Linked DNA regions of Drosophila melanogaster. The protein of the gene in region 1 interacts with the protein of each later gene in a pairwise test. Each region holds a gene or a part of one and is shown in the gene's direction. Other genes may lie near its edges.

Region 1 (4,928 bases):
TTGGCCAGTTGAAGACCCTGGGCTACCATGTCCATGCCGCCGACTACCACGCAACACTTTATGCCAATCCCGCTACCTGAAAAAAACAGAGCTAGCATAAGTTTGGCAGAAGGAAATTCAAGAATACGATAAATGGGAAGGTTTTTTTACTCAGAGGTAGTGACGAATAAGAAAATTATAATTTCATATTTTCGTTGATACACAAAATCAAAACAGGTTTAACATCACTGCGAATTAAAAGCACATAAACTATGCGAAAACTCACCAAGGGCTTCAAACTGCTCGCCAATTTGAAATGCCAGTTCCCTCGTGGGGGTTAGCACGAGGGCAAAATACCGCTGCGGATTCTCGAGAAGGGCGTGTAAAATTGGCAGAGCGAAGGCGCCCGTCTTGCCGGAACCGGTCTCCGCTAGGCCAATTACATCCTTGCCCTGTAAGGCGACCGGAATGGCCTCACGTTGGATCTTCGAAGGCGCCTTCCACTTCAATTCGTCACATGCTTGACACAAAGCCTCATTGAGACCCTTTGAAGAAATATGGCCATTCGATTAAATTTTAATTTAAATTAATAGTGGGGCTCATACGAGATCTTTCCAGGTTAGCTTCTGTTCCTCGGCTGCGTCGTCCTCGGAGCCTTTATCATCTTCACCACTTAGTGCCGCCTCGCTGTCCCCTTCCTTATGATTGTTATCTTCATCTTCCTGCTCCTCCTCGCTACCTAGATCCTCCTCTTCGTCACTCGTTTGTAGCTGCGTCTGTTCGTCCTCTGAAGTTTCCGACATTTTGTTACATGAGTTTCAGAAAAATTTCACGGTACGGACATTACCAATAGCAGCACGTGGTCGAAATAAAAGAATTAGAGGCGGTAAAATAGAAATAGAACTATTTGCGATATTATCGATATAGTTGCGTCTTTAAAACAGTGCAGATTCATGATAACTTTCGATAGCTAATGTGCGATATATCACATGCACACTTAATAAAATTTGTAACTCATTCATACTGAACCATGATCTTAATTACAGGACTTAGTTATAGTGCAAATAGTTTGTTTCGGAAATATATTCACATTTGTATAAAATCGTAATTTGTTAGAAAATTGTTTAATATTGTGATTTTGTCATTTCAGTTAATATAACAATGTTTGAAAATAGATGGTGAATACAAATTTGGTATACATCTTTTTCCATCGCGCAATTTTAAATTAATGAAACGCCAATTAGAGGGTTGTCTGTCATGAACTGTCAACGAATAAAAACTGTTTGACATTTTCATACACAAATGTTATTGATGCTATTATTAACAATTCCGTTAAATCCGGAACAAAAGATTTCTGAATAATTGTCATTTTTAATTGTATAGAAATATTAAAGACAATAAAAGAAAAAAATAGTTGAAATAATTTAACTGACTTGTACTTAACATTTTCTTATAATTTTGGATATTCGAATTTTAATCTTCGATTTTGTTTATTGCGATCTGTTGATGTTTTGGTTAGGTATACATTTTCGTATTGTGTTAAATGCATCATACTGCCGACATAATTTTTATGAGGTTCACTGTAGAAGTAATATAATTAATATATTACTCATAGTCAGTAGTTGTTTCATTTATTTAAAAATCCGTTAGCGGCTAAAAACAAAAACGTTGCAGAATAGTCACATCCAACTTAAGGTCACCGTACTTTTCAACACTTGCTTGCTATAATCACAGAAACAAGCGACGGTCACCCTCCTTCGATTATTAGTCCGTACCTATCGGAGCCTATCGTTCGTCGATATAGGATCCTATCATATAAAATATTGATTAAAATTTACGCAAATACAAAATTTTCTTGTTCCGATGAAAAGTAAGCAACAAAATTACAGTTAAGAGGGATATATAAGAGAATAACGTGTGCGTTGGCGGGGACCATACCACATCATTACTTATCAGTTAATTCGTGGCTATGCGGTTGACAAGTGAAAACGCCTACTAAAGAGAAACTAAAACCTTCAGAAAGCGAGTAAAGGGGGCAATCTATCTTTACAACCTGTCCATTGAGATCGCTTAATATTTTTGGAAATGCTTTATAGGTAAACCATAAAAATCCATTGTGAAAATTTGTGGGGGTGGTGGATACTGAATAGGCGATAGACGTAGTAAAGAGAGCGGCGAAAAGAGTGCGGAGCGAAAGAGTTTGTATTTGATGTGTACTCAAAAGTAGCCGAAGAGAGCGCACTAATACACACGCATACGGAAAAAGGACGATAAAGAGGAAGAGCTTTCCGTGGAAACTAGGATAAAGTGTTTGCCCAAAATGAACTCGGCGGTGGATGCGTGGGCTGTGACCCCGAGGGAGCGTTTGAAGTACCAGGAACAGTTTAGGGCACTCCAGCCGCAGGCAGGATTCGTTACCGGCGCCCAGGCCAAAGGGTTCTTCCTGCAGTCCCAGCTGCCGCCCCTGATCCTGGGCCAAATATGGTATGTATATTACGCCCCCATGAATCATCCACCGATAAGAGTGTTAATTCTTACTCATTTTCTTATCTCCAGGGCTCTGGCGGACACTGATTCCGACGGCAAGATGAACATCAATGAGTTCAGCATAGCCTGCAAGCTTATCAACCTCAAGTTGCGCGGCATGGACGTTCCCAAGGTTCTTCCTCCCAGCCTGCTGTCGTCTCTTACCGGCGATGTCCCCTCGATGACGCCACGTGGCTCCACAAGCTCCTTGAGCCCTTTGGATCCACTCAAGGGAATAGTTCCGGCAGTAGCTCCAGTTGTTCCCGTTGTGGCTCCACCGGTGGCTGTGGCTACTGTCATTTCACCGCCTGGAGTCTCAGTGCCGTCTGGCCCCACACCCCCCACCAGCAATCCACCTAGTCGCCACACGTCTATCTCAGAGCGAGCGCCATCGATCGAGTCTGTGTAAGCATCACTTAGAATCGAATTAATGATTTAATATTATTAATGTAGCAAAGAAGAGATAATTTAATTAATTAAATTTCAAATATTCTTAGTTATTGAAATATTAGCAAAAACATATATATAATATCGTATCTGTTCTTAACTCCTCAATCAACTTCTATCCTTTTAGCAACCAAGGAGAATGGGCCGTTCAAGCTGCCCAAAAGCGTAAATACACGCAGGTGTTCAATGCTAATGATCGCACCCGATCTGGTTACTTAACTGGATCCCAGGCACGCGGCGTTCTCGTACAGAGCAAGTTACCCCAGGTCACGCTGGCCCAAATCTGGACGCTGTCCGACATCGACGGCGATGGACGGCTGAACTGCGACGAGTTTATTCTTGCCATGTTCCTATGCGAGAAGGCCATGGCTGGTGAGAAAATTCCGGTTACCTTGCCCCAGGAATGGGTACCGCCCAACTTGCGCAAAATAAAATCGCGACCGGGATCGGTCTCAGGGGTGGTATCCCGTCCTGGCTCACAGCCGGCCTCCCGACACGCATCTGTTTCATCCCAAAGCGGAGTGGGAGTCGTGGATGCTGACCCAACAGCCGGACTACCTGGACAAAGTAAGTGCTTAATTAACTCCGTTGCCAAACATGTGAATATATTCCATATATTAACACTTGTGATTTCGCGTTCACCAGCTTCCTTCGAAGACAAGCGAAAGGAGAATTATGTTAAGGGTCAAGCAGAGCTGGATCGTAGGCGCAAAATTATGGAGGACCAGCAGCGCAAGGAGCGGGAAGAGAGAGAGCGAAAGGAGCGTGAAGAGGCTGATAAGCGTGAAAAGGCTCGTTTGGAGGCCGAGCGTAAGCAGCAGGAGGAACTAGAGCGACAGCTCCAACGCCAGCGAGAGATTGAGATGGAGAAGGAGGAGCAGCGCAAGAGGGAACTGGAGGCTAAGGAGGCGGCCAGAAAGTAAGGACTTTTATCTTGCTTTGAGCGACAAAACAATGTATACAATTTCTATTGTATCAGGGAGCTTGAGAAGCAGCGCCAGCAGGAATGGGAGCAGGCTAGAATTGCCGAAATGAACGCACAGAAGGAGAGGGAACAAGAACGTGTTCTAAAGCAGAAGGCACACAACACCCAGCTTAATGTGGAGCTCAGCACACTGAATGAAAAAGTAATGTTCTTAAAGTACAACTAATCTATATGGCTGGCCTATCTAACTAACTCGGCTTAATTACAGATCAAGGAGCTTTCGCAGAGGATTTGCGACACTCGTGCCGGCGTGACAAACGTAAAGACCGTTATCGACGGAATGCGCACCCAGCGCGACACTTCCATGTCCGAAATGTCGCAGCTGAAAGCGCGGATTAAGGAACAGAACGCTAAACTGCTTCAGCTCACCCAAGAGAGGGCCAAGTGGGAGGCCAAGAGCAAGGCCAGCGGGGCTGCCTTGGGAGGGGAGAATGCGCAGCAGGAGCAACTGAATGCCGCATTCGCCCACAAGCAGGTGAGCTTTGGCATATACGTAAAGTTTTAGTATTCAACGGATTCTCTAAAATACTATTTACCTTTTTCAACAGTTAATTATTAACCAAATAAAGGATAAAGTCGAGAATATCAGTAAAGAGATTGAGTCAAAGAAGGAGGACATCAACACTAATGATGTACAGATGTCTGAGCTCAAGGCCGAGCTCTCCGCTCTAATCACAAAGTGCGAGGATCTGTACAAGGAATACGATGTGCAGCGCACCTCGGTGCTGGAATTGAAGTACAATCGAAAGAACGAAACTAGTGTATCGTCGGCCTGGGACACAGGCTCTTCCAGTGCTTGGGAGGAGACGGGTACGACTGTCACCGATCCCTACGCAGTTGCGAGCAATGATATCTCCGCACTGGCCGCTCCAGCTGTGGACTTAGGGGGACCGGCCCCAGAAGGATTCGTGAAATATCAAGCAGTATACGAGTTCAACGCACGCAACGCGGAGGAGATTACCTTTGTGCCTGGTGACATTATCCTGGTGCC
Region 2 (5,142 bases), on another chromosome or scaffold:
CTTTAGTTTGCTTAGTTTGGAAATTGTTTCTACGACTTCTTCTTCTTCATAATCTTCATGAATAAAACCATACCTGTAAATTGAAAGGGTAATAAACTCATTAGTATAATTAAGCAGCAACAATCGAACTGCAATAAATCGAACCAATTAAGAAATGTAATTTCAAACTGAGTCACGGCAAACTTGTTTATTTGGCTTAAGTGAAGTGACTCGCAGTGTTTTCGTATTCAGTTTAAATACAATAATAATAGCAATGGAATCTAATATCTATTTATCTGTTTTCGTTCTTATAATGAATATTTATAATATTGTGATTAACATATTCAGGAAACTTGGTTTATAAACGTGTTTAAATGTGTGTTGTTGAGTTGGATAACTTAAGGTATATTTGTTAAGTAAATGAATTGGGATTTTCCAAGAGGGGTTCTTTTTTGCAGCTTGAACAAAACTTCCACAAAATACAATGACTCACCTATAAAAGTGGCAATTACGAAGGCAATCATCAGCCACAGCCAGCACTTGTAGGCTTTTTTCGAATGTTGCTCCAGTTTCTCAGCCTCTTTTCCTAGCGAATTGATATTGCGATCCGCCATTCCGGCGGAACGCGACACAACCTCCGTGTCTCTTCGGATAATCCTGTTGGCGGTCTCCGTCTGTTCCTTTAAGTTCCGAGTCAGCGAGAGCATGTGCTCGGTGATCTTCTCCTGGGCATTCGTATAATACTTGGCAGCCTGGTTCATGTTTTCACCAGAAGTTTCCTGAACGTTTGCGCTTCCAGAACTGGAGGAGGATTCATCTGCTCCTCGACGTCTTCGCAGGGCATCGGAATCTAAAATAAATGTTTTTTAAGTTATGAACTATTACATTTTTGAATTTAAGAAATTTTAAAATATGTACAAAACTGTTTGTTAATTCTTTATTACCCTGGAGCAGTTCCTTTCGCAGTTCGTTGTGATATTTGCTGTTTTGCAGCTGCCTTATTTCTTTCAGTGCATTTTCCCCAGTTTCGCTGACGGCTGAGGATTGTGAAGGAGTCTTTGTTGTGGAACCGGGAACGTCTGCATATCCGGTGGATATTTTAAGGGCCTGTAGGCGCTCCAAGTAGCCCGGGATACGTTTGACACTCTGCGGATCGCCCATCGCCTCCAGCTCGGCAAGCATTGTGTCCAGGGACTTAATGAACTTCTGCAGCCTCCAGAAGTTCTGTTCGCTTTTGGCCAGTTCCTCGCAGTTGGCCAGCAGGGTGCGAATATTTACATTTAGCTTCGTGGCCATTTTCAAGTTGAAAACATGAAAACAACAAAGTACAAATTCCTAAATTAAAATACCAGGTCGAAACCTATTTGTTGTCAGCAGCTGGTCCTATTAGCGATAGAAACTTATCGATAGGTTGTCGTGAGTAGTGATGAAAAATTATTGAGGATGTGTATGTAAAATGTAAGAATGTAAAAATGTATAAAGTAAAAAAAACATAACAAACAAATAATCTTCTAATCCTGTTAAAATTTAATTTTTAAAAATTTTTGAAAAAAAACATCAAGTTCCCAATATGCCATATTTATAAGCTTATGTCTACTTTCTCAAGATAACGTAATGCATTTATATTATTGCATGCATACTTCTGGGCGCGACTCGAAAATCTTATCAAACCTCTTGGCCAATATCTGAAGTTATCAATTAAACCGTTTTTGATAGCCACAGCATATGAGTAGTTTCACGCAAACGCACATTTTTGTTTTAGCTGTTGTCGTACGCCAGGTGTCAAGATCAAATGGCATACCATTCAAAGGTTGAATTTTTATAGTAGTTTTTTTTTCTTCATTTTCCTTAAGTGCCGTTACACGCAAGTGAGGTGTTATCAAACAGCTGACGGGGCAAAAACAATAAAACTCACCCTCTTTGTTAACGGTACTAGAGGCCATGAATGAAACACGACTTCGTTCTCTCTCGACTTTCTCTCACCGCTCTCTTTGGCGGTCTCTTCTTGCGCAGCAGCACCAGCAGTTAACGGTGCATGTTGAAAAGTTCTCACACAAACGTCGTGAAAATCGAAATCGATAAGTAAGCAACGGATTTTAGCTGCCCAGAAAAAGACCACAAATTTCAGTGAAAACCCAGCGATAAGAATCCCAAAAAGTACTAATCCAGCTGAAAAACAACCATCTTAACCGGCCATGTCCAAAAAAAGTGTTAGCCAAGTGTTTTGAATAACGTAGTTGGTGTAAATGCTTAAAAAAAATAAGCTAGTCCGGGGCCAGAGAAATCGATACGATACCCCCAAAAAAAGGGGGGCTGCTGCGTGGGCTGCCCGAGTGAAAATTTCCAGCTAAAAATAGTACTAGATTTGAGCTTGAAGAAAACCCTTGATTTCCTTTGCGTTTCGATGTCAGTTATCATTGCATTTCAGTTACATAAGTTTTGAGACCCGTTGCTGCGTAGCGAACCTATTAACGGCTTAAGGACCACACAACCACCCACATGTACCACCAACACCACCCATTTACACAGCCAAAAATAATCGGAAAATATATATATATAATAAATATCAGTAGGGCTACATTTTATCTAATCTTTAATTTGATAATGTTAGATTCTTTGATATAAGTCATGGCGTTAAAAATAAATCTCCCCTTTTAAGCCACTGAAATATAAATTTTTTTATATTAAAAAAATAAGATGGGATCTTAAATATCGTATCGTATTTTAATACCCGTATATCATATCCTCTCATAAAGCAATCATACTATTTACAGTTGCTAGAGGTAATGTAACACCATTAAGTCGGAGCTAAAATAGAAAAAAAAAGCCAATTGTAGAGTGACCCGATTGTCGTAGAAAAAGCCCCATGATGCAGCCGCCGCCGCGTAAGGTAAATCATAAATAAATCGAATTGATAAAGATAGTTCCACAATAATCATTCATCGTATACCTCGTAATCCTGCAGGGAAACTATGTGAAATTCCTCAAGAATTTGCACACGGAGCAGGTGGCCAAGCTGCAGCTGAAGAATCAGCATGAATGCGACCTCCTGGAGGACATCCGGCAGTTCACCATCAAGCGTTCCGCTGTCGAGAAGTCATACAGTGAGTCGCTGCTGAAGATCTCATCGCAGTATCTCAACAAGAAGATACCCAATATACCAGATATTAAGATGGAGGGCATGGAGGAACGCTGGTGGGTATTGCTTTCCAGCTAACTAGTAACGTTCTTTCGAGAACCTTCAGTCAATTTGAATTACCCACCTACTTATACGTAATCTCATAGGAACATGTGGAGCGTTTGGCGCACTGTGCTCGAGGAGAATGAGAAACTGGCTCGTGCTCGATTGGCCGCCATAGAGGTGTTTCAACAGCAAATCGCGGATGAGGCCAAGGTTCTGCGGGACTATAAGTTGGCCATAGCTAAGCGTTCGCTAGCCGGAATTGTCAATGTGCAGAAGGAACTCCATCTGAGCGTGGGCGATGTGGATAAGACCAAGAAATCATACTTTGACGAAGAGCATTGTGCTCACGATGTTCGGGACAAGGCCCGCGATATCGAGGAGAAGCTTAAGAAGAAGAAGGGCTCCTTCTTTCAATCAATCACTTCGCTGCAGAAGAACAGCGCCCGGGTCACATCTCGCAAGGAGCTGCTGGAGGAGAAGTCATCTGGCGCCCGGAATGACTACGTACTCAGCTTGGCGGCGGCCAATGCGCATCAGAATCGCTACTTCACCGTCGATCTGCAGACAACGATGACCACCATGGAGAACTATGTTTTCGAGCGGGTTGCCGAGTACCTGATGTTAATGGGGTAAGTGTATAATGGCATTGCTCATAAATTATAAACCATCCAGAAGTGCAAAATCGGTAAATCAATTATAAATTTTACAAGTTCAAAGCCATTTTCTAATCAATGTTTGCTCAAGTCGTCAATTACATTCTGATAATTTTTATGGCGCTACCTGATATGGCTCATAAAGTTATTAAATCATTTTATTTAATCTTATGACTCAATATGTACATATGTACATAACAGTGCTGTCTTAAGAAATCTTTATCTTAATGTTGCCTAACCATTAAAACACATCTTTTCCAGACGCACAGAGCTGTTGACTTGCTCGGCTACGCAGAATAGCTTCGGAAAGATCCGTGACCAGGCGCAGCAGTTGACGCGGGAGTACAACCTGCAGTGCTGCTACCTATTCTATCCGGTGCTGAAGCAGCACATCCAATATGACTTCGAGGCGTGCGACAATGATCCGGTGCGCAAGGTGACCGCGGAGCATGAGTCCGCCGCCGAGACGCTAACCAAGGAGGCCAAGAATCTGGCCGGAAGAGTGGTCAAGGAGAATGCCTCGATCAGGGAGAATGCCAAGAAGTTGGCCTTGTGCCAGTCGCTGCGAGACTCTGGCCAGCGCACGGATCCCAACGATCCAAATGGACCGGATCTGGACACCAAGATCGAGGAGTTCCGTGATCAAATCCGTCGATCCGAGACGGAAAAGACAAAAGCGGAGGCATGTCTGCAGTGCCTGCGCGATGGCGGCATTAACGTGGACGAGTGGGTGCAGGAGGCCGAGAATATGGGTGTACAGGAGCTGACGCGTTCGGCCAGTTCCATTTCGATGCGCACCGACGCCTCTGGCCAGGGCGAGAATCCCAGTTCCGATTCATTCTACGACAGCGACAAGGAGGAGACTCAGGCAGCTGCCCAAACGAAGCCCAAGCAGGAGCAACAGCTATCCAGGGATCGTACCTTCAGCGATAGTGAGGATGAGCCCGAAGTGCGTCCATCGGCAGCGGCAGCTTCTTCTGCAGCTGCTGCCTCGTCATCCATGATGGCCAGTAGCGCTGGTGGCTGGGATGATCCCACTGAGGTCAACTGGGGAGCTGGCGAGGAGGAGGACGACAAGGACGAACCGATTGTTCCAGAACCCAAGGAGGCGATCTTCAAGTGCACTGCACTCTACAGCTATACGGTATGTGAGCTTTAAAGAACTATATACTTTTTCTTGCCACTAATTTTTCACTTTTTCCACAGGCCCAGAATCCCGACGAGCTCACCATCGTCGAAAATGAACAGCTCGAGGTGGTTGGCGAAGGCGACGGCGATGGGTGGCTAAGGGCCCGCAACTATCGCGGCGAGGAGGGCTACGTGCCA

What was found.
Region 2: the proteins of Dap160 (region 1) and nwk interact in a two-hybrid assay, tested with the Drosophila melanogaster proteins (one study listed by BioGRID).

The regions. Positions count from the first base shown.
Region 1 is NT_033779.5:21,139,160-21,144,087, reverse strand, and holds the start of Dap160 (dynamin associated protein 160), read left to right. Parts: upstream 1-1,740; 5' UTR 1,741-1,849; intron 1,850-2,075; 5' UTR 2,076-2,299; coding exon 2,300-2,463; intron 2,464-2,535; coding exon 2,536-2,910; intron 2,911-3,079; coding exon 3,080-3,519; intron 3,520-3,597; coding exon of another isoform or gene 3,598-3,609; coding exon 3,610-3,871; intron 3,872-3,931; coding exon 3,932-4,079; intron 4,080-4,145; coding exon 4,146-4,412; intron 4,413-4,485; coding exon 4,486-4,928. Other genes in the region: pths (porthos), read right to left, coding at 1-76, 266-524, 585-782.
Region 2 is NT_037436.4:9,135,829-9,140,970, forward strand, and holds the start of nwk (nervous wreck), read left to right. Parts: upstream 1-2,031; 5' UTR 2,032-2,061; exon of another isoform or gene 2,062-2,136; intron 2,137-2,753; 5' UTR 2,754-2,848; coding exon 2,849-2,869; intron 2,870-2,944; coding exon 2,945-3,174; intron 3,175-3,264; coding exon 3,265-3,792; intron 3,793-4,077; coding exon 4,078-4,960; intron 4,961-5,022; coding exon 5,023-5,142. Other genes in the region: Use1 (unconventional SNARE in the ER 1), read right to left, coding at 30-73, 473-829, 924-1,275. UniProt on the Drosophila melanogaster protein: Adapter protein that provides a link between vesicular membrane traffic and the actin assembly machinery. Acts together with Cdc42 to stimulate actin nucleation mediated by WASp and the ARP2/3 complex.